4 linked regions of the Anolis sagrei genome follow. The protein of the gene in region 3 purifies or fractionates together with the protein of the main gene of each other region. This does not show direct contact. Links are inferred from orthologs where the notes say so. Each region holds a gene or a part of one and is shown on either strand. Other genes may lie near its edges. The genes, in order: LARP1, CHCHD2, YBX1 and MRPL3.

Region 1 (7,532 bases), on a different chromosome or scaffold from region 3:
AAGTGTGTGTCTCTCTCACATTCAATTATGTGAGAAATGCCATGCGTGCTGATATGTTATGCTCTTGGCATAGTTTTACTATAAAGTGAGAATGAGGTCTTGGTGGCTCTGATCACAAGCTATTATAAAGGCATTATAGGTTGAGTAAGTATCCTTTATCAGGAAAACTGAAATTCTCCAAAATCTAAAATTATCTCCATGGGTGGCTGAGATAGTGACCTCTTTACATTCTGGCAGTTCAATGTGCACAACATTTGTTTCATGCACAAAATTATGTGCCTTCGTCTGTAAGTCGCCCTGAGTCCCCCTTGGGGTGAGAAGGGCGGGGTAAAAGTAATTGAAATAAATAAATAAATAAATGTATAAAATTACCTTCAAACTATGTGAATAAATGTAAAATTTAAAAAAAAATCAAGCTGAAACCATGGATCCAGAGGGTTGCCTCTATCTTAATTCAAGAGGAAACAATTGCTTCTCAAGTTATGAATAAAATGGAATGCTGGATGTGTGTTTTCTTCACTTTACCAAAAGGCATATGGAACTGGCCATTCTACACTCATAGCACTTATAATACATATGAAATGGCAGCCACAGAGAATGGCAGTTTTTTAAAACAACATTCTGGGAAGTGCTTACTCCTCCTTCAAAATTTCCAGCAAAGAAGGCTCTACTATAATATGTGTCTTATGGTCACACTATAGATTACTCTTGAATCCTATGGAATTAAGAAAACAGAAACTGTTTCTGAGGCCCCTTCCACAGAGCTCTATATACTAGGATCTGATCCCAGTTTAACTGTTTATCCCAGATTATGTGGCAGTGGAGACTCATACTGTATAATCCAGTTCAAAGCAGATAACCTGGGTTAAATCCTGGGATATAAGGACAGCGTAGATACAAGGGCCAGGCTTAGTACAGCAGGCTAAACTGCTGTGCTGCAGAAAAATCAGAATGTTGGGGTTGAGCACCCGCCATTAGCCCCAGCTCACCTGCATACCTAGCAGGTCGAAAGCAGAAATGTAATCAGATAAAATAGGTACCGCTTTTAGCAGGGAGGCAATTAAGGCACCCTTAAGGACATTGATTGGAGGAAATCTCCTTGGCATGGATGATGGAAAGACAGCATCCTCCTCCCCATGGCTGGAGTCCAAAATGCCAGAAATAAGATGAGTAAAATGGGCTTTACCTCTGTTTGTGCTGACTGTCCTTGTTAATTGTATAATCAGCATTGAATGTTTGCCATATGTGTGTTCTGTAAGCCACTCTGAGTCCCCTTCGGGATGAGAAGGGTGGGTATAAATACAATAAATAAATAAATAAATGTAGAAAGGGCCTGAGGCTATATAAAATCCAAATTCTACACACTGTATAAAATCCAGATTATCTGCTTTGGACTGGGTTATATGGCAGTGAAGACTCAGATAATCCAGTTCAAAGCAGATAATGTGGATTATCTGATTTGATAATGATTATATGGCAGTGTAGAAGGGGCTTACGGTGTAATTTAAAAAAAGGGGGGGGGGAAATAGTACGTATGTCAGGTGTTATTGGAGGCTGGGCACTCACTGAGTTGCAAGTTACCTGTTGTTGTTTTTTTTGCATATTAGAAAAAAATGCTTAAGAATTGCCATTGTCTTGCTTTATATGTTTCTTTTCAGGTTTTTACTAACAAAAACGGGGTCCTGTCATTTATGAGACATCCCATGTGTTTGCTTGTTCATATAAGTAACAAAAATGCCAAGTCATGCTCAGGCCTTGTTTATGGTGATCAGTGATGCCTACAAAAGTTTACTTGTTAAGTGTTATCATAACTCATTATGGACACAAGAGGTGAAACGGTCACATAAAGAATCCTTTCATACTACACATAGTCATACTGCCAATTACACTTTAACCACCATAGTTCCTTCTTATGAAATCCTGGGATTTGCAATTTAGGGAAGACTATTTTGACCTCTCAGCTGGAGAGCTCTAGTATGGCTGATCTGAAATGGGTTTAAACAATTGATTTTAGAGATAACTGATTTTAGTGTTTGTGTATATTGTGTATATTTATAGTTTATTTTGTTTCGGCATTGAATGTTTGCCGTATATATGTTGTGCTGCACCCTGAGTCCCCCTTGGGGTGAGAAGGGCGAAATATAAATCCTATATATAGTGCCTCTGTCAAGACTACTAATGCAAACCTTCCTTCATTTTTGTATAAGAATAAATACATCTACATTTGGGGTGCCACTTTTTATGTTGCATCCCTCTCTTGGCAGGGGTGTGTCTGGAAGAATAATGTAAATTTCTTGCTCATCGTGATACATTTCTGTGTATTCTTCCTGATATTGTTTCAGACGCTAGCTTTGCCATGAAAAAAATGCACACAATTTTACCACATCAGACACAAGGTAATATGAAAAGAAATCTCTTAATTAAAAAGTTTCTGATTAAAAAAATAAACGTGTTGCATACAGCTATGCTGGATCTATCCTCAGGGCTGTTTGACCTGAAATGTCTGTTGTTTGAAACTGACACATACGTCCATATTGCTGTGTATACAAGAGTTCAGAAACCACTGCTGATTTCTAGTCAGTGGTGTCTTGAATTAGCCGGTTTCTCTCCTTTCTCCTCTCTCCTCCCCCCTGCACTGCTTGACATTTACAGTGTAAGTTCCTTGGAAGCAGTCTTTGCGAAAGGCCATGTAACTTGAATAGGCAGCGAGGCAGTCCAATAGCTAGGCCTGGGATGGCCCATATTCAAATCCCCAGTCAGGAGGGATGGCTGTATGTATGGGTGAAACGTAGGGGAGAAGCATGTGGGTCTCATCACACTTGAGCATTTTCCCACTTCAAATGGTGTGACTGCCTCCTGCAAAATGCTGGGGTTTGTAGTTTAGGAGGCAGTCACAGCATTTAAAGTGGATTGACGTGTGATGAGGTTCTCTCAGAAAAAAAATATACCACACATATAAATAAGATAGGTTGAGGAAACTACAGGATGTCCCTAATGCACTTTATGAGAGAATTAGAATTGTCTGCACACCCTTTTATTTCCAAAATATTCATTCTACCTCACCTGGACATGCCCAGCATTTTTAGAATTTTAACCATTACATTTGGCCCTGCCACAGGTTTTTAATATTGTCGTGTTTTTTGTTAATGTTCTGCTTTGTTATGAGTTATTTATTTTTGCATTGTATTGTTCTTGTTGTTTTTACTAATGATGTACTTTGGGCTCGGCCTCTTGTAAGCCGCATCGAGTCCTGCCTGCGGGAGATGGTAGGGTTTATTGTTATTATTATTATTATGTGCACATCTGTACTTTAGAATTTTTATGTTAATGCTATTGGCATCTTGGGAGCTGTAGTTTTACGAGGTCTCTAACCTTCTCTGCCAAAAGGTATCTCACCAAAGGGGAGGGAAAACTTTGGATTCAAATGGAGGCAACTCTCTTTGGTCAAAAGACTCGGTATAAACATTCTTTTGCTGTCAAGACAACACAAAACTAGAGGAGCCTAGAGCTGAAAGAAGAGTAGGCCCTGCCTCCTTCCCACAGGCCGAGGCCTACCCGCTGAGAGACGAACAGTAGACTGAGCCCACTGCAGCTTAGGCTACCCACATCTTTTCCTCACTTGGTCCTTTAGTTTTGTGAGATGCTTGGCCTTGTCCGCCACAATAAACTATAACTCCCGGGGCTCCCATACCATCGAGTCCTGGCAGTTAAAGCGGTGTCAAACTGCGCTAATTCCGCCGTGGTTGCTCCACGTTCCCTTCGCAGGCTGGTACTCGAGAGAGAGAGAGAGAGAACGAGCGAGCACCAACCCGGCCCTGCGACCCTGAGCACATGTTTCTGCCTGGAGCGGGGTGGGCTCCTTCCAAGGAAACAGGCCCCACGCGATCGATCGGGTAGTGGTGGCTTCAGGCCGACCTTGTCCGTGTTTTTGTTTGATTTGGAAGTCAAATAGAACTCTCCAGCTCCGCAGGGGGAGGCCTTTTTCCCCCCTTTTGGGCTTTGTTCTGTTGGTTCTCTTATCAGAGTCAGTAGGCCCTCCGTGGAGGTGAAAGCCAGCACTTCGCTCCAGAAGGCCCTTTGGCAGCGATGAAGTTTGAAGGCAAGGCTCCGCCTCCTCCACCACCACCACCTTTCTCTCTTCCCGAGCGGCGACGCTGCCCCTTTAAGGAGCGTCTCCCTATGACACCCAGCACGCGCCGGCCCCGCCGGGGCTCGGGCTCGCGCCGCCTCTCCTGGGCGCGCTCGTCATGCGAAAGGGAAAGAGCGTGAGCGTGCGTGTGTGCGCGCGCCTGCCTGCGTGAAGGCGTCTGTGCGTGTGCGTGTGTTGTATGCGCGCGCGCTCCCTCCTTCCCCGGGCCTGGATAACGCGGGCGGAGCTGGCTGCGCGCGCGCGCTCGCTCTGGCCGGGCCAGTCGCGTGGTCTCCTTGCTTCTCCATATTGCTGCTGCTGCGGCGGCGGGGGCATTGGCATTAGAGGAGAACCGGGGGAGCGGGAGGGGAGGGGGGCGGCGAGGCGGGGGTTGGGCTTCAAAGGGAGGGGGGCGTGAGAGCAGGAAGCCGGCGTCTTGGGGCTCCCGCTGCGCCCTTTCACCGAGAGAGGGTTGGAAAGAAAGCTCTCGGGCGAGGCGGGCTTGCAAAGGAGGGAGGAGGGGGAAGCAAGCAAGCAAGGAAAGGAAGAAGTGAGGAAGGGGGAGCGGGCCGGCTCCGGGGCGCAGATGGCGACCCAGGTGGAGCCCCTCCCGCCGCCCAGCCCTCTGCTGCCTTCCGAGGAGCACGGCGGCGGGGGCGGCGGCCTCGTCCTCAAGAAGTCCCCGGGAGAGAAGGGAGAGCAGCGCCTCGCGCCCCGCGGAGAGAAGGAGGCCGACGGCGGTGGCGGCGAGGAGGAGGAGGGCGGCGGCAAGGAGGGCGGCGGGCCCGACAGCTGCTGCAGCAGCAAGGAAGGCGAGCCGCATCCGCGCCGGAACGGGGCCCTCCTGAAGCCGCCCAGCATCAAGCAGCAGAAGGAGGAGAGCAACAACCAGGAGAAGGAGAACCTCCTGCAGCAGCGGAGCAGCAGCGAGACCACCACCAGCAGCAGCAACAGCAGCTCCAGCGGCGAGGAGGGCGGCGTCGGGCGCAAGGAGTTCATCGAGGCCCCGCCGCCCAAGGTGAACCCCTGGACCAAGAACGCCCCCGCCGCGCTCGTCGCCCTCAACGGGCAGTCGCCTCCAGGTGGGTCCACACGGGGGCGATTGGGGGAAGACAGCCAAATAAGAGCCTCCCTGGCCTCCTCCTGCAAGATGGTGACATTCCCTCGCCCGTCAAACTCCACCCCGCCTTTGTCCGGCGGCGCCCACCCTGCCCTCCTCTTCTTCCTCCCCCTCCGCGACCCTTATGGAAATCTTTTGATAGAGTATCAGAAGTGGGAGCCAAAGGGGAGGAGATGGGGCCATGCGGGCTTGGCGTGATTCAGACATCTTGGAGGGAGGGGGGAGGGAGAGAGAATGGGGCGGGTTCGCAGCCCGAACAGCGCCCCCTTCCTCCTCCTCCTCCCCCTTTCCTCGTGTTTGGGAGCCCTTCCTCCTCCTCTTCCTCCTCCCAGATTCGCCATTAGAGGTTAAGCTGTCCCACCACGTTTTAACGAGCGCGTGGGGATTCCCCTTCCTGCTCCCTTCCCTTTTATTCCCCACGCTGCTTCCTTTCCTTAAATATAGGTAGAGCCCTCGTTAAATGGCGTTGGGGCGGAGACTAAGAAGAAGAGGGGGAGGGGAGGCACCACGACAGCGGAGGGAAGGGGCTTGCAATTCGTTTCCAATCCATTTTGTGTGTGTGTGTGGTGTATTTTGCGCTTTTTGGAGACACGATGAGTGTATTTTGCGCTTTGGGGCGAGAGCGGGCGGGTCTGCGCGCGAGGGCCATGTGCCTTGGCGACTTCCTCCTGCGGCTTTAAGTAAAGGGAGGGAGGGGGCGTCGGCAGTTCTCCCTCCTTCCCTCTCTCTTCCCCCCTCCCTCCCTCCCTTGGTTCCTTTCCTCCCTCCGCAGCGCTCGAGGCGTCCGCGTGCAGGCGGCGGTTTGAGCGTTCCGTCGCCTCCTTCCTAACGCTCCTCCGCCCAGTGGGGCGCCCCCCCCTCTGTCCCTGTGCGCGCGCCTGTGCGTTCTGAGCGTCCTTCTCCTCCCCCCTCCCCCTTTCCCTTCCTTCCTTCCTCCCTTTTCTTCCCTTTCCCGGCATTCCTCTGCAGTAAAGGCAACGTGGTTTTCTTTCGGAGCGAGCATGTGACGAACACTCTCATATAGCCGGGGCCTGGCTTGTTCTTTGGACCTGGTAGCCGCTTCTCTCTCTGCTCTCCCCCCCCCCCCACAGTCCCAAATCCTGGGGGGGGGGGAGAGTTTCCCCACCCCCCTTTAGGGCCCCTTCGACTCTGAGGGCGGAGGTGGCAGGGAAGCCTACGTCAAGGGCGGGAGGAGGAGGAGGGGAGGTTGGTTGGAACGGCTAGGCCTCTCAGTTGGGCGAGTGTCTCAGCTAACGCTTTCCGCGTGGGCTGCCGACTTCTAACTGTAACGTATTGCCGTTCGTTTTGCGGGGAGGGCGGTTTTCCCGCAGCGGGGCCGCGCGCCCTGCCCCCCCCCCCACCTTCCCACCCTTCCTGTCTTGGGGGGAAGGGAAAGGAGGTGAATGCAGGACAAAGGTCTTCCAAACGTCCACGTGGGCTTAGCCCTATGTAGGTTAACTCAACAGGGCTTTTCCATTTTGTTTCTATTGAGTCAGTATTTAACACTGAAAGTCGTTTTTATTTACCTAGGGCCTGAATCAAATCCCACATTATCGACTTTGAACTGGAATATATGGCAGTGTGGGCTCAGACTGAATAGCAGAATCAAATCCCACATTATCTACATTGAACTGGAATATATGGCAGTGTGGGCTCAGACTGAATATCAGAATAAAATCCCACATTTTCTACTTTGAACTGGAATATATGGCAGTGTGGGCTCAGATTGAATAGCAGAATAAAATCCCACATTATCTACTTTGAACTGGAATATATACATATGGCAGTGTGGGCTCAGATTGTAGTGATCCTTCAAGATAACCCAGTTCAAAGCAGATTTTCTGTCTTGATACTCTGAGTGTGTGGAAAGGCCCTAGTTTGTTATACTCTGCCCTCCCTATCCACGGATCCAATGACCCACAGGTTGAAAAATACTACCCCTTGCTTTGCCCATTTTGTATAAGGGACATCATTTTTCTAACCGCTTCATCATCCATGTATCAACCGGAGTCATGGAGCCATACCCCAGAGCACACCACTGTAATTGGAGTTCAGTGGGAGGGCAGTGCCATTTTGTGAGTAGGGTTGATAAGCTGTGTGAGGCTTATGCTCACTTCAGTGTGAATGTAACAGCAGTCACCTGCTCACCATTTCGCATAAATAAAATCAGGACTTGAGGACATGCTAGTGCAGGCATGGGTGTTTTGGACTTCAGCTCCCACAATTCCTAACAGCTGGGAGTTGTGGGAGTTGAAATCCCAAAACACCCAGAGGGCCCAAGTT
Region 2 (6,963 bases), on a different chromosome or scaffold from region 3:
ATAATAATAATAATAATAATAATAATAATAATAATAATAATAGGCCAACAAGGAAGATGACAATGATAGTAATAATAGGATGGGAAGACTAGAGGATGGAAGTATTACTTCAGAGGGAGGCAATGGCATTCCTTGCCTGAGATAAAAATGCTACGGCTCTCCTGGAGTCATAGGTGGGACTAGATGGCCTCTGTGGTTGATTCTAGCTCTTTGGCCTTCCCCTCTGCTCTCTCCCCATTTTATGTTTGAATGACGTGAAAGCATGACTCACCATTGGCGAAGCGGCACTGCTTGAGGACCTCGCTGAACCCCTCGCAGAGCTTGAGGTCAGCCTGGTTCTGGGCGCATTCCAGGAACTGCTTCATCTCATACTGGCAAGGGCTGAACTGGGAGGACTGGGCCGCGGGCTGGGGCTCCTGGGGAACAGAGAAGACCATGACTCCCATTAGCAGATTCCCTCTATCGCTAATTAGCCCAAAGCCTTCAGAGTACTTTGAGCCAATTGAACACTGATTGTTGCAACGCATTTATTTGATCATGACACCTTGCTGGGTGGAAAGTGCCACACTGAGGGACAGTCTAGTTTTTATAGCCAACATTCTGTGCATGCGCACAACAGCTTTTTCTCTGAATTTTGCCTCATCCTTTCTCTTTGGTGCCTCTCTTATCACTGTCATCCTTTTTGCGGTACCTATTGATGTTAGGTTGAGCTTGTCCCTTGGCTTGAATTCTCCCCTCCTTTTGGGTCCTTGTTCCCTTTCGCTCCACTGAGAATACGAGACTTTTGACTGAACTGTATTTTGGCTGTTAATTTTTATTATTATTTTCCCTCATTCTAGTCCCTTCATTCCTCTCCCAAACACCTTGAGATCCAGGAAACAATACAAACAGCAACTGGAAAGGACATGCAGAAGTGGTCATAAGTATGAACCTTCTCTGGTCAAGGGAGCAGCTCTCACCTGGTATGTGATGTCGGGCCTGGCGACTTCAGCGCTACCTCCTCCTCCTCCGAAACCCCCAGTCATGGCATGGCCCAAGGTGTGCCCCACGGCTGAGCCCACCGCGACGCCAGCTGCGGTGGTGGCCATCTGGGCCATGAGGCCTGGCTGGCGGGGGGCCGGTGAGGCCATGGCTGAAGGGGGGGCGGCTGCAGGGACGGAAGAGCGAGCGGCTGGCGGAGGAGCCGAGCGCAGGGGTGGTGCAGCACGGCTACAAAGGCAAAAGAGAGAAAGCCATCAGGTCGCAGATCATTAAGTCTAGTCGTGTCTGACACTGGGGTATGGTGCTCATTTCCATTTCTAAGCCAAAGAGCCTGCATTGTCCGTAGACACCTTGTAGGTCATGTGGCCAGCATGACTGCATGGAGCGCCATTACCTTCCCTCAGAAGTGGTACTACTGATGTACTCACATTTGCGTGTTTTTGAACTGCTAAGTTGGCAGAAACTGGGGCTAACAGCGGGAGCTCACCCCCCCTTCCTGGATTCGAACTGCTGACCTTTTGATCAGCAAGTTCAGCAGCTCAGTACTTTAACCCACGTGTTTCCAGGGGCCCCATATAAATAGCTCACCCCATCTCCCCAAAGGGATTCGGATGGTTTACAACAAGCACCAATATAAAACACATAAACACAGGCCAGAAAACTCACAGCAATCTATTATTATTAATAGCAGCAGTAGTAGTAACATATTATTACAGAGGCTAGATGGTCAACTGTCGGGAATGCTTTGATTGTGTCGTCTTGCCTATCAGAAGGGGTTTGCACTGGGTGGCACTTGGGGTCTCTTCCAACTCTATTATTATTAGTAGTAATATTATTGGAGCCCTCGGTGGCACAGTGGGTTAAACCGCTGAGCTGCTAAAATTGCTGATCGAAAGGTCGCAGGTTTGAATCCTGGGAGCGGTGTGAGCTCGCGCTAATAGCACTTTTATGGATAGGTTCTTGTAGGTTTTTTCGGGCTATAGGGCCATGTTCTAGAGGCATTTCTCCTGACGTTTCGCCTGCATCTATGGCAAGCATCCTCAGAGGTAGTGAGGTCTGTTGGAAATTTCAGCAGACCTCACTGCTGGATGCTTGCCATAGATGCAGGCGAAACGTCAGGAGAAATGCCTCTAGAACATGGCCCTATAGCCCGAAAAAATCTACAAGAACCTAGTGATTCCAGACATGAAAGCCTTCGACAATACTTTTATGAATGCCTGACATCGAATTGTCCCAATCTGTAACCCGCCTTGAGTCGCCGTATGGCTGAGAAAGGCAGGCTATAAAGATTGTAAATAAATAAATAAAAGTGAGCTTACACCTCCCAACAAAGGATTCCCCCCCCAAGCAGTAACCAGCCAGGCTTTGAAGCTGCGAGACCATTCAATGCTAACCAAGCTGGCCAATGGCAACCTTCCCACTTGCCTCAAGCAGACAAAAGTTCTTTCTCCCACCCTGGACATCATTCCAGAGATATAGAAACCTCACTTGCCTCGTTTCCAACAGACCTCACAACCTCTGAGGATGCCTGCCATTGATGGAGGCGAAACGTCAGGAGAGAATGCTTCTGGAACATGGCCAGAAAGCCCAGAAAACCTATAGCAACCTATATAACATTACTTTAATATCAATATTATAATATATATATTATACTGTAAGATATAATATTAATATAATATATTATTGATATTATATAATATATATTAATAATAATATATAAAATAATATATTGTAATATAAGATATTATTATTTTTCACTCTAGGGATTGTTCTCCTCCAGAGAGTGGAATCAGTGCAGTGTGTGGAGTGGGGAACTACAAATCCCATCAGCCCCCGCGCTGCTTCACCTGGCAGGGGGCGCCATGCGGGAGGTCCGGCTCCTGCTTCCCCTCGGCATGGTGAATGAATCAAGAACCGCGGCCTTCCTTCGTAACTCTCTTCGTCCTCGCCTTTCACCACAGCGACCTCCTTACGCTTCCGTCGTCCCTTTTCTCGATCTTTCCTTCCGCTTCCGGCGGCGTGGTTGCGCGCAACTTCCGGTCTCCTCGCGCGAAGGTCGAAAAGCCGACTGCGCGTGCGCACTTTGACGGCTCCCCTCTCGAATGCTTTGTCAGTGCGCAAGCGCAGAACTTAATCTTGGCTTTGCAATGGTCAGAATGGGCGGAGCTATCCCTTTGGTAAAGGGCGGGGCGGTTTGTATGCTGCGCCTCATGTATGGCCCTTTGCCGCCCTCCTGTGGACACAGCGAGCACTGCACTTTTAGAGCGCCACCATAGGCTTCTATGCAGACTGCTGAGCCATAGGCAATGCATTGAGAGGCGTCTCTTTGCCGCCATCAAGTGGCCAAATCGAGACATTGCAGACATTCATTATATTATTAGGACACTTTGTATGCTGCGCCTCATGTATGGCCCTTTGCCGCCCTCCTGTGGACACAGCGAGCATTGCACCTTTAGAGGGCCACCATAGGCTACTATGTAGGCAGCCGAGCCATAGGCAATGCATTGAGAGGCGTCTCTTTGCCGCCATCAAGTGGCCAAATCGAGACATTGCAGACATTCATTATATTATTAGGACACTTTGTATGCTGCGCCTCATGTACGGCCCTTTGCCGCCCTCCTGTGGACACAGCGAGCACTGCACCTTTAGAGGGCCACCATAGGCTACTATGTAGGCAGCCGAGCCATAGGCAATAATGAATGGGAAGGCGTCTCTTTGCTGCTATCAAGTGGCCAAATCGAGACATTGCAGACATTCATTATATTATTAGGACACTTTGTATGCTGCGCCTCATGTATGGCCCTTTGCCGCCCCCCTGTGGACACAGCGAGCATTGCACCTCAAGAGCGCCACCATAGGCTTCCATGCAGGCAGCTGAGCCTGTAATAATGCATAGCGAGGCGCCTCTTTGCCGCCACCCAGTGGCCAAATCGAGACATTGCAGACATTCATTATATTATTAGGACACTATGTATGTATGTCAAAGCCATGGTATTCCCTGTAGTAACCTATGGATGTGAGAGCTGGACCTTAGGGAAGGCTGAGCGAAGGAAGATTGATGCTTTTGAGCTGTGGTGTTGGAGGAAAGTTCTGAGAGTGCCTTGGACTGCGAGAAGATCCAACCAGTCCATCCTCCAGGAAATAAAGCCCGGCTGCTCACTGGAAGGAAGGATACTAGAGACAAAGTTGAAGTCCTTTGGCCACATCATGAGGAGACAGCAAAGCCTAGAGAAGACAATGATGCTGGGGAAAGTGGAAGGCAAAAGGAAGAGGGGCCGACCAAGGGCAAGATGGATGGATGGCATCCTTGAAGTGACTGGACTGACCTTGAAGGAGCTGGGGGTGGTGACGGCCGACAGGGAGCTCTGGCGTGGGCTGGTCCATGAGGTCACGAAGAGTCGGAGACGACTGAACGAATGAACAACAACAACAACACGTATGCTGCGCCTCATGTATGGCCCTTTGCCGCCCTCCTGTGGACACAGCGGCCATTGCACCTTTAGAGAGCCAGCATAGGCTTCTATGCAGGCAATGCATTGAGAGGAGCCTCTTTGCCGCCATCAAGTGGCCAAATCGAGACATTGCAGACATTCATTATATTATTAGGACACTATGTATGCTGCTTGGAGGAAAGTGCTGAGAGTGCCTTGGACTGTGAGAAGATCCAACCAGTCCATCCTCCAGGAAATAAAGCCCGACTGCTCACTGGAGGGAAAGATACTAGAGACAAAGTTGAAGTACTTTGGCCACATCATGAGGAGACAGGAAAGCCTAGAGAAGACAATGATGCTGGGGAAAGTGGAAGGCAAAAGGAAGAGGGGCCGACCAAGGGCAAGATGGATGGATGGCATCCTTGAAGTGACTGGACTGACCTTGAAGGAGCTGGGGGTGGTGACGGCCGACAGGGAGCTCTGGCGTGGGCTGGTCCATGAGGTCACGAAGAGTCGGAGACGACTGAACGAATGAACAACAACAACAACACGTATGCTGCGCCTCATGTATGGCCCTTTGCCGCCCTCCTGTGGACACAGCGGCCATTGCACCTTTAGAGAGCCAGCATAGGCTTCTATGCAGGCAATGCATTGAGAGGAGCCTCTTTGCCGCCATCAAGTGGCCAAATCGAGACATTGCAGACATTCATTATATTATTAGGACACTATGTATGCTGCTTGGAGGAAAGTGCTGAGAGTGCCTTGGACTGTGAGAAGATCCAACCAGTCCATCCTCCAGGAAATAAAGCCCGACTGCTCACTGGAGGGAAAGATACTAGAGACAAAGTTGAAGTACTTTGGCCACATCATGAGGAGACAGGAAAGCCTAGAGAAGACAATTATGCTGGGGAAAGTGGAAGGCAAAAGGAAGAGGGGCCGACCAAGGGCAAGATGGATGGATGGCATCCTTGAAGTGACTGGACTGACCTTGAAGGAGCTGGGGGTGGTAACGGCTGACAGGGAGCTCTGGCGTAGGCTGGTCCATGAGGTCACGAAGAGTCGGAGACGACTGAACGAATGAACAACAACATGTATGCTGCGCCTCATGTACGGCCCTTTGCCGCCCTCCTGTGGACACAGCGAGCACTGCACCTTTAGAGGGCCACCATAGGCTACTATGTAGGCAGCCGAGCCATAGGCAATAATGAATGGGAAGGCGTCTCTTTGCTGCTATCAAGTGGCCAAATCGAGACATTGCAGACATTCATTATATTATTAGGACACTATGTATGCTGCGCCTCATGTATGGCCCTTTGCCGCCCTCCTGTGGACACAGCGGCCATTGCACCTCAAGAGCGCCACCATAGGCTTCCATGCAGGCAGCTGGGCCATAGGCAGTGATGAATGGAAGGTGTCTCTTTGCCGCCACCAAGAGGCCAAATCGACATTGTAGCCATTCATTATATGATTAGGACACTTTGTATGCTGCGCCTCATGTATGGCCCTTTGCCGCCCTCCTGTGGACACAGCGAGCATTGCACCTTTAGAGAGCCAGCATAGTCTTCTATGTAGGCAATGCATTGAGAGGAGCCTCTTTGCCGCCATCAAGTGGCCAAATCGAGACATTGCAGACATTCATTTTATTATTATGACATTTTGTATGCTGCGCCTCATGTATGGCCCTTTGCCGCCCTCCTCTGGACACAGCGAGCACTGCACCTTTAGAGGGCCACCATAGGCTTCTATGCAGGCAGCCGAGCCATAGGCTATGCATTGAGAGGAGCCTCTTCGCCGCCATCCAGTAGCCAAATCGAGACATTGCAGACATTCATTATGTATTATTAGGACACTGTATGCTGCGCCTCACGTATGGCCCTTTGCCGCCCTCCTGTGGACACAGCGAGCATTGCATCTCAAGAGCGCCACCATAGGCTTCTATGCAGACAGCTGAGCCATAGGCAGTAATGAATGGGAAGGCGTCTCTTTGCCGCCATCAAGTGGCCAAATCGAGACATTGCAGACATTCATTATATTATTGTTCATTCGTTGTCGTCTCCGACTCTTCGTGACCAGCCCACGCCAGAGCTCCCTGTCGGCATTATATTATTAGGACACTGTATGCTGCGCCTCATGTATAGCCCTTTGCCGCCCTCCTGTGGACACAGCGAGCATTGCACCTCAAGAGCGCCACCATAGGCTTCTATGCAGACAGCTGAGCCATAGGCAGTAATGAATGGGAAGGCGTCTCTTTGCCGCCATCAAGTGGCCAAATCCAGACATTGCAGACATTCATTATATTATTAGGACACTGTATGCTGCGCCTCACGTATGGCCCTTTGCCGCCCTCCTGTGGACACAGCGAGCACTGCACCTCAAGAGCGCCACCATAAGCAATAATGAAAGGGAAGGCGCCTCTTTGCCGCCACCCAGTGGCCATATAGACACATTGCAGTCTTTCATTATATTTTGGGAAAGGGAAGGAAGGCATGTTAACAATAATGACAGAAACCACTTTTGGTCTCTATCTATATAGAAAAGCAGGGCATCATAA
Region 3 (7,294 bases):
GGACCAAGGCGGAAGAGAGGAAAAAGAAGGGAAGAGAAAGGAAGAAAGAACAAAGAAGGAGAAAGGAAAGAAAGAGCCACAGAATAAAGCCAAACCCAGGCCAGAAGACATAGATGGAGGCCAGGAAACTATACAAAGTTTGGCCCTAAGGAAGAGAAAGAAAAGTAGGGAGAAGTGAGGAAGGAAGAGAAAACGTAATCATGTGCCACGGAGAAAAGCTAAACCCAGGCCAGCGGATATAGAGATATCTCTGTATAAATAAATAGATACAGAGAGAGGGCAGGAAACTGTTCAAATCCAAAGGTTGGCACAGCTGTGAGGCCTAGTAGTAGTAGCCATGCCCAGCTTCGAGATAAGGGAGGGAAGAAAGAAAGGAAAAAGAGGGAAGAGAAAGGAAAGAAAGGGGGGAAAGTCTGAGGAAAGTAAGGAAGAAGAGAGGAAGGCGGAAGAGGGAAATGGAGAAAGGAAAGAATGAGAGGGAGAAGTGAGGAAGGAAAAGAAAGGAAAGGAGGAAAAGTCTGAGGGGAGAAATGAAAGAAGGAAAGAAAAAAAGAAAGTGAGGGAGGAGTGAGGAAGGAAGAAAGAAAAAGGAGGGAAGAGAAAGGAAAGAAAGGGGAAAAGTCTGAGGAAAGGAAGGAAGAGAGGTAGGTGGAAGAGGGAAATGGAGAAAGGAAAGAATGAGAGGGAGAAGGGAGGAAAGAAAAGAAAGGAGGAAAGGAAGGAAGAAGAGAGGAAGGTGGAAGAGGGAAATGGAGAAAGGAAAGAATGAGAGGGAAAAGGAAGAGAAAGGAAAGGGGGAAAGTCTGAGGGGAGAAATGAAAGAAGGAAAGAAAAAGAGAAAGGGAGGGAGGAGTGAGGAAAGAAGGAAAGAAAAATGAGGGTAGAGAAAGGAAAGAAAGGGGAAAAGTCTGAGGAAAGGAAGGAAGAGAGGTAGGTGGAAGAGGGAAATGGAGAAAGGAAAGAATGAGAGGGAGAAGTGAGGAAGGAAAAGAAAGGAAAGGAGGAAAAGTCTGAGGGGAGAAATGAAAGAAGGAAAGAAAAAAAGAAAGTGAGGGAGGAGTGAGGAAGGAAGAAAGAAAAAGGAGGGAAGAGAAAGGAAAGAAAGGGGAAAAGTCTGAGGAAAGGAAGGAAGAGAGGTAGGTGGAAGAGGGAAATGGAGAAAGGAAAGAATGAGAGGGAGAAGGGGGAAGGAAAAGAAACGAAAGGAGGAAGTCTGAGGGGAGAAATGAAAGAAGGAAAGAAAAAGAGGAAGGGAGGGAGAAGGGAAGGAAGAAAAAGAAGGGAAGAAAGTCTGGGGAAAGGAAGGAAGAAGGAAGAGAGGTAGGCGGAAGAGGGAAATGGAGAAAGGAAAGAAAGAGAGAGAAGTGAGGAAGGAAAAGAAAGGAGGAAAGTCTGAGGGGAAAAGGAGGGAAGAGAAAGGAAAGAAAGGGGAAAAGTCTGGGGAAAGGAAGGAAGAAGAGAGGAAGGTGGAAGAGGGAAATGGAGAAAGGAAAGAATGGGAGGGAGAAGTGTGGAAGGAAAAGAAAGGAAAGGGGGAAAGTCTGAGGGGAGAAAGAAAAAGAGAAGGAAAGGGGGGAGGGAGGGAGGAAGGAAGAAAAAGGAGGGAAGAGAAAGGAAAAAAAAGGGGGGAAGTCTGGGGAAAGGAAGAAAGAAGAGGGGAAGGTGGAAGAGGGAAATGGAGAAAGGCAAGAATGAGAGGGAGAAGGGAGGAAGGAAAAGAAAGGAAAGGAGGAAGTCTGAAGGGAAAAGGAGGAAAGAGAAAGGAAAGAAAGGGTAAAAGTCTGGGGAAAGGAAGGAAGAAGCAAGAGAGAAATGGAGAAAGGAAAGAATGAGAGGGAAAAGGAAGAGAAAGGAAAGGAGGAAAGGTCTGAGGGGAGAAATGAAAGAAGGAAAGAAAAAGAGAAAGGGAGGGAGAAGGGAAGGAAGAAAAAGGAGGGAAGAGAAAGGGAAGAAAGGGGGGAAAGTCTGGGGAAAGGAAGGAAGAAGAGAGAAATGGAGAAAGGAAAGGATGAGAGGGAAAAGGAAGAGAAATGAAAAGGGGGAAAAGTCTGAGGGGAGAAATGAAAGAGGGAAAGAAAAAGAAAAGACAGGGAGTGAGGAAGGAAGGAAGAAAAAAGAGAGAAGAGAAAGGAAAGGGGGAAAGTCTGAGGAAAAGAAGGGAAAATAAGGGAGGAAAGGAAGAGCCAGAGAGAGAGAGAGAGGCCAAAGGCTGGCTCGAGATGTGAGGCCTAGCAGTAGGCCCGAAGCCTTTCTTCTGCCCAGATCCCGCGCACGCGCACATGGAGGCACACGCACACAAAGGCTGCGCGCGCACCGGCGGCTCCCCCCTCCCGAGACCCCGCCCTCCCCCACCTGGGCCACGCCTCCTTGCTTTGGCGCACGCGCGCTGGAGGCGAAGGGAAAACGAGGCGAGGCCGCCCCCTCCTCCTCCTCCTCCAACGGCTGCTGCACGCGCTCAGGGGCAGCCAGCCAATCAGAGGCGCGGGGGGCGCAGAGAGGAGCCAATGGGAGCCCGGGAAGGGGCAGGGCAGGCCGGAGGGGAAGGGGCGCGCCTGCGCAGTGCCTCACCGATGACCTTCTTGTCCCCGCCGGCAGGGGGCGCTGCGGAGCCGTGGTGGTGGTTGCTGCCATTGCCATTCCCGCCATTGCCGCCGCCATTGCCATTGTTGTTGCCGCCGCCTCCTCCGCTGGGCTTGGCTTCGGGAGAAGCGGGGGCGGCGGGCTCGGGCGGCGCGGCGGGCGGAGAGGAAGACGAGGAGGCGTTGGAGGGCGGCGGGGGCGGCGCCTGGGTCTCGGCCTCGCTGCTCATGGCGGCACGGCTCGCCCGCTTCTCCTTCGGATGGTGACTCGAGGGGCGGGCGGGCGGGTCTCTGCTCCCTGGCTCCGGGCTCGCTCTCCGCTCCCGATCCCGATCGAACTGGCCCACAATGGCGGCGCGCGAGGGCTTAGCCACCCCGCACGCCCCGCCCCCGCCTCCCCCTCGCCCCATTGGCCCGCCCCGCTGCCGCTCAAGCCGCCCGCCCTTCCCATTCGCCCGCTCCTCGCCCTTCCCCGCCCCCTTTCGGGGGCTCCCCCGCTCTGATTGGCTCCACGACCCTCCGTGGCTGCAGGGACTTTGATTGGTCGCTTTGCCATGCCGATCAAAAGGTTCCCCCGCTCTGATTGGCTCCACGCGTCCCTTGGCCCCGCCTAACAAAAAATCCCCGCTCGGCTATGGGCTTTTCTCGCGTAGTGACTCTTATTGGTCGGGGCTTAATGCCAATCAAAGCGGTCCGCTACTCTGATTGGCTCCACACGTTCCTTGGCCCCGCCTAACCAAATTTCCCGCTCGGCTATGGGCTTGTGACTCTTATTGGTCGACATATAATGCCAATCAAAGCGTCTCGCTACTCTGATTGGCTCTACACTTTGCTTGGTCCCGCCTAACAAAATTCCCCGCTCGGCTATGGGCTTGTGACTTATTGGTCGACACGTAATGCCAATCAAAGCGTTCCGCTATCCTCATTGGCTCTACACGTTGCTTGGCCCCGCCTAACAAAAATCCCCCCTCGGCTATGGGCTTTACTCCCGCAGTGACTCCTATTGGTCGGGGTTTAATGCCAATCAAAGCGGTCCGCTACTCTGATTGGCTGTACACGTTCATTGGACCCGCCTACCAAAAAATCCCCGCTCACTCGCGCACTGACTCTTATTGGCCGGCACGTAGTGCCAATCAAAGCGGTCCGCTGCTCGGATTAGCTCCACACGTCCCTTGGCCCCGCCTAACAAAAAATTCCCGCCCGGCTATGGGCTTGACTCGCGCAGTGACTCTTATTGGTCGGCACGTAATGCCAATCAAAGCGGCCCGCCACTCCGATTGGCTTCACGACGTTTCTTAGTCCCGCCTACCAAAAAAATCCCTCGGCCATGGGCTGTCCTCTTGCGGTGGCTCTTATTGGTTGGCATGCAATGTCAATCTAAGCGGTCTGCCGCTCTGATTGGCTCCAAGGGTTTCATTAGCCCCGCCTGTCAAAATCCTCGCTTGGCCATGGGCTGTTCTCCCGCGGCCACGCAATGCCAATCAAAGCAGTCCGCAACTCTGATTGGCTCCACGTCCCTTCTTGGACCCACCCGCCCATGCGCTGCCCTCCCGCGGTGACTCCTATTGGCCGTCGTTTTATGCCAATCAAAGGGGTCCCGCACTTCGATTGGCTTTGCCTGATAGGACCCACCTATACCAATTCCCCGCCTTGATTGGCTTTAGGTCGCTCCTTGGACCCGCCCATGCAAACACCCGCTCGACTATTGGCCGGCACGTGAAGCCAATCAGGGCACCCGCCACCCCGATTGGCTCGACGTTGCCCCTTGATCCCGCCCATCAAATCCCTAATTCGGCCACTCGATTGGCTGCCACCCATTGCCAGTCAGCCAATCCCTCCTCTCCCTGTGCTCTGGCCTTGGCTGCCCTCCCGCGGGTGATTCCATTGGGCGGCACTCAATGCCAATCAAGAGGTCCCACTGTCCCGATTGGCTCTTCCTCTCTCCTTGGCCCCGCCCGTCGAAAGCTCCGCCTGGAACCTCGCAGCTGATTGGGCGAGAGCTCCAACGAAGCCACGCCTGCGGAAGTTGGATTGCCACTGCTTCTCTGCGGGGAGCACGTGGCCACAGGCGGCCTTCCAAGCCATGCTTCCCTTGGCTCAGCCTCTCAAGGCCAGAGATGGGGAAACCAAGAATAATATAGAATAATCATAGAATAATAATATATAATAATAATCATAGAATAATGTATAATGAGAATATATAATAACATAATAATCTGTAACGAAAATATAATAAAACAATGAGAAAATATTGTATATAATATAATAACCTATAATTTTATATATTAACATATTTAATATATTAATATTTATAATATATAATATAATCTATAATAATGAATATAGCATAGTTACCTCCTGGGCCATCCAGTCCAACCCCATTCTGCCAAGAAGCAGGAATATTGCATTCAAATCACCCCTGACAGATGGCCATCCAGCCTCTGCTTAAAAGCTTCCAAAGGAGGAGCCTCCACCACACTCCGGGGCAGAGAGTTCCACTGCTGAACGGCTCTCACAGTCAGGAATTTCTTCCTCGTGTTCAGGTGGAATCGCCTCTCTTGTAGTTTGAAGCCATTGTTCCCTTGCGTCCTAGTCTCCAAGGAAGCAGAAAACAAGCTTGCTCCCTCCTCCCTGTGGCTTCCTCTCACATATTTTACATGGCTATCCTATCCCCTCTCAGCCTTCTCTTCCTCAGGCTAAACTCCTTAAGCCGCTCCTCATAGGGCTTGTTCTCCAGACCTTTGATCATTTTAGTCGCCCTCCTCTGGACACATTCCAGCTTGTCAATATCTCTCTTGAATTGTGGTGCCCAGAATTGGACACAATATTCCAGGTGTGGTCTAACCAAAGCGGAATAGAGCATGGGGAGCATGACTTCCCTAGATCTAGACAGTATATAATCTATTATAATGTAGTATAATTATAAAATGATCTATAAATACAATATATAAATTAAAATATAATGTAATATAATATATAATCTCTAATGAGTATAGTATAAAATAATAAAATAATTTATAATAATATTAATATATATACGTATTTATAATATAAATATAATATATTTGCAATATATAATGTAGTCTAGAATAATGAATATAGTATAATTATAAAGTAATGTATAATTATAATAACATAATATAAGCTATAATATCCATTGGCATAAACATGGGTTGAATACACTAACAGGGAATGGCACGGAGCAGCCAGGAAAAGGAGCCTTTAAAATCCCTCCCCTTTACTATCTATCTGTATTGGGAAGGCTTTCGTGGCCGGAATCATTGGGTTCTCGTAGGTTTTTCGGTCTGTCTGGCCATGTTCCAGAAGCATTCTCTCCAGGCGTTTCACCCACATCTATGGCAGACACCTGCCTCATAGGAAACCTGCTACCAAACAGGAGCTTCTTTGTTGAGTTCCAGGACCAGAGAAGCAGATGGCGGAAACAGAAGAACGGCCTGCCTCAGGGGAGCGTGCTTGCTCCATCCATGTTCAACATCTACACAAATGACCAGCCACTGCCAGAAGGGACAGAGAGTTTCATCTATGCTGATGATCGTGCCATCACCGCTCAAGCAGGGAGCTTTGAGATGGTTGAACAGAAGCTCTCTGAAGCTCTAGGTGCTCTTACTGCCTATTACAGGGAAAACCAGCTGATCCCTAATCCATCTAAAACACAGACATGTGCCTTTCATCTCAAGAACAGAGAAGCATCCTGAGCTCTGAAGATCACCTGGGAAGGAATCCCACTGGAGCATTGCAGCACACCCAAATACCTGGGAGTCACTCTGGACCGTGCTCTGACCTACAAGAAGCACTGCCTGAACATCAAGCAAAAAGTGGGTACTAGAAACAATATCATACAAAAGCTGACTGGCACAGCCTGGGGATCACAACCAGACACAGTGAAGACATCTGACCTTGCTGCTGAGTTACTCTGCTGCTGAGTATGCATGCCCAGTGTGGAAAACATCTCACCATACTAAAACAGTGGATGTGACTCTTAATGAGACATGCCACATTATCACAGGGTGTCTGCGCCCTACACCACTGGAGAAATTACACTGTTTAGCCGGTATTGCACCACCTGACTGACATCCGCCGGGAAGTGGCAGCCAATAGTGAAAGGACCAAGGCAGAGACATCTCCAGCTCATCCCTTGTTTGGGTATCAGCCAGCACGTCAACGACTTAAATCTAGACATAGTTTTATAAGATCTACAGAGACACTCGCTGGAACACCTCAGCAAGCAAGAGTCCAAAAGTGGCAGGCTCAAACCCAGCACCTCAACCAATGGCTGATACCAGATGAGAGACTCCCCCCTGGGCACACAGAAGACTGGGCGACTTGGAAGGCGCTGAACAGACTGCGCTCGGGCACCACGAGATGCAGAGCCAACCTTCAGAAATGGGGCTACAAAGTAGAATCCTCGGCATGTGAGTGCGGAGAAGAGCCAACCACTGACCACCTGCTGCAATGCACCCTGAGCCCCGCCACATGCACAATGGAGGACTTCCTTGCAGCAACACCAGAGGCACTCCAAGTGGCCAGATAGTGGTCAAAGGACATTTAGCCAGTTACCAAACTCACAAGTTGTGTATTTTTCTGTTTGTTTGCTTTGTTCTGTTAGAAATGTAATATAATGGACTGGCTGCTCTGACACGACAAATAAACCCCAGAGGTTGTGAGGTCTGTTCGAAACTAGGAAAATGGGGTTT
Region 4 (7,040 bases), on a different chromosome or scaffold from region 3:
CCATACATCAAGGGAACCACTGACCGCATAGGGAAGATGATGAGGAAACACAACATACAAACTATCTACAGACCCACCAAGAAAATCCAACAAATGCTACGTTCAGCAAAGGACAAGAGGGATCCTCTCACTTCTGCAGGAGTCTACCGTGTACCATGCAGCTGTGGACAAGTCTACGTAGGGACCACCAAACGCAGAATTGCCCAAACACGAATCAAGGAACATGAAAGGCACTGCAGACTACTTCAACCAGAGAAGTCAGCCATAGCAAAGCACCTGATGAACCAACCTGGACACAGCACATTATTTGAGAACACAGAAATGCTGGACCACTCTCACAACCACCATGTCAGACTACAAAGAGAAGCCATTGAAATCCACAAGCATGTGGACAATTCCAACAGAAAGGAGGAAATCATGAAAATGAACAAAATCTGGCTACTAGTATTTAAAAAAACTCTAAAATTAGAACAGCACAACAACAGAGAGGAAACAAACAAGGACATCTAATCACCTCTCAACAAAAGATTGCTCTAGGCACTGCCAGGCCATTATATGCTAATCAAGGTGGTCAGTTGAAACATTCACACCTAGCTCCAGCAGACAAGAGTCCTTTGTCCCACCCTGGTCATTCCACAGATATATAAACCGTTTTTCCTAGTTCCAACAGATCTCACTACCTCTGAGGATGCTTGCCATAGATGCAGGCAAAACGTCAGGAGAAAATGCCTCTAGAACATGGCCATATAACCCGAAAAAAACCTACAACAAACCAGACTGTTGATGTATTGTTTTAATTCTGATTTATGTTTAATTGTGGTTTTACTATTGTAAAATTGCTTGTATTGGCATCGTATCAGTGCTCAACGTAAGGCATTGAATCTTGCCATTATTTATGTGTAAACCGCTTTAAGTCCCCTCAGGGGTGAGAAAGGCAGTATATAAATACTGTAAATAATAAATAAAAATAAATTATCTGAGTCCACACTGCCATATATTCCAGTTTAATGCAGATAATGTGGGATTTTATTCAGCTGTGTGGAAGGGGCCTGGAAGGGCCTTCAGATATTCCAGTTCAAACATTGTGGGATTTTCTGCCTTGATATTCTGGATTATATGGCTGTGTGGAAGGGCCCTCAGGCCACACTTCCTATATTTCAAAGCAAATAATGTGGGATTTTATTCAGATGTGTGGAAAAGTGGATTAGGAATCAGATGATTTTCCTAGATATTCATTGAAAAACTAATAGCAAAATGTGCTGCAGGATGTCCTGCAAAACCAAAGTTTCTGCAGTTTAATAAACCATGTCCATGTTTTATTATAGAACCAATTAGGAAATGACCTTTATAACTTGGGAACAAAAATCGTATTACATAATGTTTTACTTACTTAGGCGATCCCTCGTTGGCCGAGTAGGATAGTCTTCCAGGATCAGTATTCTTGTGGGTCCGTAGGTGACTGTGGAGCCCTATTCTTGATCTGCATCTTCTCCCGCAGTGAGGGCATTGGTTTCCAGGTGGAAGGCAGTCCCGGTCGGGGTTGGCTTGACGCGCCTTCCTCTTGGCACGTTTCTCTTTCACTCTTTCATTCGTGCCTCTTCAAATTCTACAGCACTACTGGTCACAGCTGACCTCCAGCTGGAGCGCTCAAGGGCCAGGGCTTCCCAGTTCTCAGTGTCTATGCCAGAGATTTTAAGGTTGGCTTTGAGCCCATCTTTAAATCTCTTTTCCTGTCCACCAACATTCCCTTTTCTATTATTGAGTTCGGAGTAGAGCAACTGCTTTGGGAGACGGTGGTTGGGCATCCGGACAATGTTGCCGGTCCAGCGAAGTTGATGGCGGAGGACCATCGCTTCAATGCTGGTGGTCTTTGCTTCTTCCAGCACGCTGACGTTTGTCCGCCTGTCTTCCCAAGAGATTTGCAGGATTTTCCGGAGGCAGCGCAGATGGAATTGTTCCAGGAGTTGCATGTGACGTCCGTGGACAGTCCATGTTTCACAGGTATATAGCAGGGGTGGGAGGACAATAGCTTTATAAACAAGCACCTTGGTATCCCTACAGATGTCCCGGTCCTCGAACACTCTCTGCTTCATTTGGAAAAATGCTGCACTCGCAGAGCTCAGGAGGTGTTGAATTTCGGTGTCAGTGTTGACTTTTGTGGAGAGGTGGTTGCCAAGGTAGCGGAAATGGTCAACATTTTCTAATGTTATGCTATTAAACTCTGGTTCCGTCTGCCACTGTTAAAAGCCTTGGGGTTGTGTTGGATTCATCGCTGACGATGGAGGCCCAGATCACTGCCATAAGTAAGCAGGCCTTTTTTAATCTTCGCCAGGCAAGGAAATTGGCATCCTACCTTTCGGTAGAAGCATTGGCAACAGTAATCCACGCAACAGTCACCACGAGTTTGGACTATTGCAATGCCTTATATCCTGGCCTTCCGAAGTCAACAACCCAGAAGATTCGGATGATTCAAAATGTGGCAGCCAGACTGCTAGCGGGATCATCTATAAGATCCCATATTACACCGATTCTGCAACAACTGCATTGGCTACCAATAGAACATCGGATCTCTTACAAGATAATGATCCTGACATTTGGAGCTCAAAATGGCCAAGGACCTTTATATCTTAGGGACTGCCTCATTCCTTTTCCCCATCAGTGGTCACCTCGATCCACCCAGGAAAATCTCCTCTACATACCGGGTCCTAGGGAGGCACATTTGGAAGCTACAAGGCGTAGAGCTTTTTCGATCTATGCTCCAATTCTGTGGAACTCATTGTGTGACGGCGCGTGTGGCGCCTCATATATTTAGAACTGTTTGTTGCAGGATTTTAAACTGCCATTTTATTTCTGTCTACCTTGTACATGTATAGTTAAATTTCATTGGTTACTATAGCTGTCAATTTATTGTTGTTGTGCACCAATTGGTTTGTTTCCCCAGTTCAGTTGTTTAGGCTCCGCCCCTTCCAAGGGAGAAAGGGAAGGTTTCTCCCTCACCTTTTTTTACCTCAGTAAAAGACTCATTGGATGGACGTGTCCATAAGCTTGGCCCAAAGCCCCTGGTCAAGGCATTTTTTACTACCAGTTCTTAGGTTTTGACCCCTGAGTCTTATTCTTTATGTTCAAACCTCCTGAACGAAATTGCGAAGACCTCAGGCACCTTCATTCCAGTTCTTTGGCACCATAGGAAAGTCTTGTCCTTCAGTTTAGGCCACTGAACTGGGGTTGTGGTTTGCTCCGGCATCCATAGCCATTGAGAGAGAGGGAACAGGAAAGGCTTCTCAGCTTATTACTCCTAGGACCCTGGGCTTTAGAGTTATAAAGTGTTTTTCCCTGTTGAAACATAAAGTTTGTGCCTGAGAAAGAAAACTAATTATCATCAATAAACACCATTTCGAGTCACTTGTGTTCTGGTCCTTGGGAATTCCAGTTTCCCTAAAGTGAGGGCAAGAAGCAATCCCCTAGGGAAAGCAGTCACGTCCATGCCTCTTTCTCTATAGCCCCAGGCACGACGGCACACATTGCCTCCATATATTAGAGCAATGTCGGAGTTGCGACCTTTTGTAAAGGCGCTCAAGACTTGGCTGTTTGGTTGTGCATTTAAGTAACCGGATCAAATTTTGCCATAGTCACTGCTGAATGTTTTTATGATGTTGAATGTTTTTATGTTGAATGTTTTATATTGCGTATAAGCTATTTTAAATTGTAAGTCGCTCGGAGCACTTTGGTGGAGAGCGACTAATTAAGAAATAAAGTGATGATGATGATGATGATGATGATAATGTTTTATGACAGTGTGGATGGGGCTGAAGACAATACTGGAAGGCTTTTGTACTCTTAAGCAGTGTTTTTCAAGTTTCGGGCCTCAAGGGGGTTTTTTGGACTTCAGCTCCCAGAATTCCTCAGTATTGGCCAAGCTGGCAAGGGCTTCTGGGAACTGAAGTCCAACCCCGTTCAATGTTTGCCCGGGACCGCAGAATGGGGCTGATAGGAACCAAAGGCGCCCGGAACTAACGTTCGCGTGCGACGAGGGAAGGCTTTGGGAGTCGGACGGCCTTCTTCCTCGGCAACGAGCGCTGCTGCCGGTGCTGTCATGGCGGCCGCGGGGCTGTTGTGCCGCCTGGGGAGGCACATGTTGCCCAGAGGGGCCCTGGCTTCGGCTCGTGCGGCAGTGGAAGTCTCAGAGGCCGGGCTGAGGAGCCGGTAGGGGGTTTATTATCTCCTTGAGAGCGGGTGGTCTGGCTCTTCCGTGGAGGCCTTGTCGGTTCTCTGCCTTCCTGCCTTTTGAAAGCAGGGAAAAGGAAGCAAGCCTGGTGTGCAAGGCGCTTGAATCCCAACAGAGTGCTGTTTCAGGGAGCATCGATGCAGTCTGGCACCACTATTAACTGCCCTGGCTCGTGGGAGTTGTAGTTTCACAAGAACTTGAGCCTTCCCTGCCCAAGAGGGTTGGTGCCTTACCAAGTAACAACTTCCAAGATTCCACAGCGTTGAGCCATGGCGCTTAAAGTGGTCTCAAACTAAAGGCATTCTGCAGTGTAGAGCAGGCATGGTAAACTTTGGCCCTCCAGGCGTTTTGGACTTCAACTTCCACAATTCCTAACAGCCGGTAGGCTGTTAGGAATTGTGGGAGTTGAAGTCCAAAACACCTGGAGGGCCGAAGTTTACCATGCCTGGTGTAGAGGCATCCTAAGGCCCCTTCCACACAGCTGAATAAAATCCCACATCTGCTCTAAACTGGAGTATACTGGAGCATACAACCCCCCTGTTGCGCCAACTCCACTGGCTACCGATCTGCTACCAGGCTCAATTCAAAGTGCTGGCGTTGGCCTTTAAAGCCCTAAACGGTTCCGGCCCAAGCTACCTATCCAACCGCATCTCTGCCTATGAACCCACCAGGACTTTGAGATGTTCCGGGGAGGCCCTGCTCTCGATCCCGCCTGCTTCTCAAGCACGGCTGGCGGGAACGAGAGGATAGGGCCTTCTCAGTGGTGGCTCCTCGGCTGTGGAACGCCCTTCCTATGGACATTAGACTACCACCATCTCTAATGGTATTCTGCAAAAAAGTGAAGACCTGGCTGTTTGAGCAGGCGTTCAAATAATTAGTGCAATGATTGGTTAATGAACACTGGAATGGAACAGTGGATGACGAATCTGGAACATGTTCTTAATGATGAGACGACAGTGAATGGGTATTGTAGTAACTGTTTATTAATTGTGTAATGTGTTAGGTTGTTAGCTGTTTTTATACTGTAGCACTGAATTTTTGCTGTTCGTATTTGTTGTGAACCGCTGTGAGTCGCCTTCGGGCTGAGAACAGCGGTATATAAGTAAGGCAAATAAATAAATAAATAAATAATAACTTTATTTATACCCTGCCACCATCTCCCCAAGGGACTCGGAGCGGCTTACATGAGGCCAAGCCCAACAACACATCAGAAACATCAAGCAATAATAAAAACAACAAGCAATAAACAAAATAAACAATACAATTAATATATCTCACAAGTAGACAATAACACACAAGAATTTAAAAACCTATGGCTGGGCGAGATGTAATAGTTAAAATCTTTAAAAATAAATGCTGGACATGAACAGAGGATGTATCTATTAGGAGGGTTTTAAATCAAAAGTAAAGAGCAACCCAACAGGTAATTAAAGTGCTTCTCAGAGTATTTGCAGGGAATTGTTTCCTTTATTCAGGGAAGCCACATTTTCAGGCTCCTCCTAAAGACTGCCAATGTGGGGGCTTGTCTGATATCCTTGGGGAGTGAGTGCCAGAGTAGAGGGGCAACCATGGAGAAGGCCCTCTGCCTCGTCCCCACCAATCATGCCTGCGAGGGAGGTGGGAGCGAGAACAGGACCTCCCCAGATGAACAAAGAGATCGTGTGGGTTCGTACACAGAAATGAGGCCATGCAGGTAGACGGGTCCCAAACCATTTAGGGCTTTGTAGGTCAGAACCTGCACCTTGAATTGGGATCGGAAAATGAACAGCAGCCAATGGAGCTCCTTAAACAGGGGGTTGACCGCTCCCTGTAAGTCGTCCCAATAAGTAGCTTGGCTGCCACCCACAGGACCATTTGAAATTTCTGAGCCATCTTCAAGGGCAGCCCCACGTAGAGTGCATTACAGTAATCCAGTCTGGAGGTGACTAAGGCGTGGACCACCCAGGCCAGATCAGACTTCATATGTCAGTGTAGATAACCCAGTTCAGATATTGTGGGATTATGTGCCTTGATATTCTGGGTTATATAACTCTGCGGAAGGGCCCTGAGTCAGGGTACTTTGTTTTTCCATTCAGGGGCTGAAGAGGTTTTTTCCCCAACAGTTATTGTGTGTCTTCAGATGATTCCTATCACAGGCATTTTCAAACCAATATTGAAGAAAGTGGGTTTGCAGTGCTGATCACTACAAGCAGTCCCCAAATTACGAACATGATGATATCTGTAGGTTTGTTCTTAAGTTCAGTTTGTAGGCAAGTCAGAACAAGTACATCTTTAAGTGTACTTCCAGCCAAATTGATACCTATATTAGCTTTGGATAACATAGGATGGGGTTAACACCCAGGCCTGTAGCCAGAGGTGGCTAAGGTTTCTTAACCCCCACTCTACCCCACCCCACCCCGCCATTCCCAACACATGCTTCAGATCAAAAAGAAAACTCTGGTTTACTCATGAAGTGGTTAATCAGTTAATTCACCCCTTGTGGTGTTTGTTTTGCTGACTGTGTACCCTCTTCAGAAGATTTCACCTCACTTTCTGTCCCTGTGAGCATTGGGTTTTGAAAGAAAAATAGCTTGCTGTGGAAACAAGGATTGGAGATACAAGGCTTACATGGCCGGAATCACTGGGTTGCTGTAAGTTTTTCGTGCTGTATGGTCATGTTCCAGAAGCATTCTCTCCTGATGTTTTGCCTACATCTATGGCAGGCATCCCCAAAGGTTGTGAGGTCTCCCAACCTCTGAGGATGCCTGTCATAGATTTATTTATTTATTTACAGTATTTATATTCCACCCTTCTCACCCTGCAGGTGACTCAGGGC

What was found.
Region 1: the proteins of YBX1 (region 3) and LARP1 purify together in Homo sapiens (co-immunoprecipitation; 3 studies listed by BioGRID and IntAct, with this or other methods). This does not show direct contact. The link is inferred for Anolis sagrei from reciprocal best matches to the Homo sapiens genes YBX1 and LARP1.
Region 2: the proteins of YBX1 (region 3) and CHCHD2 purify together in Homo sapiens (affinity purification with mass spectrometry; 3 studies listed by BioGRID and IntAct, with this or other methods). This does not show direct contact. The link is inferred for Anolis sagrei from reciprocal best matches to the Homo sapiens genes YBX1 and CHCHD2.
Region 4: the proteins of YBX1 (region 3) and MRPL3 purify together in Homo sapiens (affinity purification with mass spectrometry; 3 studies listed by BioGRID and IntAct, with this or other methods). This does not show direct contact. The link is inferred for Anolis sagrei from reciprocal best matches to the Homo sapiens genes YBX1 and MRPL3.

The regions. Positions count from the first base shown.
Region 1 is NC_090022.1:81,925,986-81,933,517, reverse strand, and holds the start of LARP1 (la-related protein 1), read left to right. Parts: upstream 1-4,524; 5' UTR 4,525-4,715; coding exon 4,716-5,211; intron 5,212-7,532. UniProt on the Homo sapiens protein: RNA-binding protein that regulates the translation of specific target mRNA species downstream of the mTORC1 complex, in function of growth signals and nutrient availability.
Region 2 is NC_090031.1:27,717,310-27,724,272, reverse strand, and holds the start of CHCHD2 (coiled-coil-helix-coiled-coil-helix domain-containing protein 2), read right to left. Parts: upstream 3,023-6,963; 5' UTR 2,879-3,022; coding exon 2,829-2,878; intron 1,210-2,828; coding exon 960-1,209; exon of another isoform or gene 840-959; intron 417-839; coding exon 272-416; intron 1-271. UniProt on the Homo sapiens protein: Transcription factor. Binds to the oxygen responsive element of COX4I2 and activates its transcription under hypoxia conditions (4% oxygen), as well as normoxia conditions (20% oxygen).
Region 3 is NC_090033.1:17,323,917-17,331,210, reverse strand, and holds the start of YBX1 (Y-box-binding protein 1), read right to left. Parts: upstream 3,005-7,294; 5' UTR 2,990-3,004; coding exon 2,569-2,989; intron 1-2,568. UniProt on the Homo sapiens protein: DNA- and RNA-binding protein involved in various processes, such as translational repression, RNA stabilization, mRNA splicing, DNA repair and transcription regulation.
Region 4 is NC_090026.1:79,266,291-79,273,330, forward strand, and holds the start of MRPL3 (large ribosomal subunit protein uL3m), read left to right. Parts: upstream 1-4,034; 5' UTR 4,035-4,093; coding exon 4,094-4,203; intron 4,204-7,040.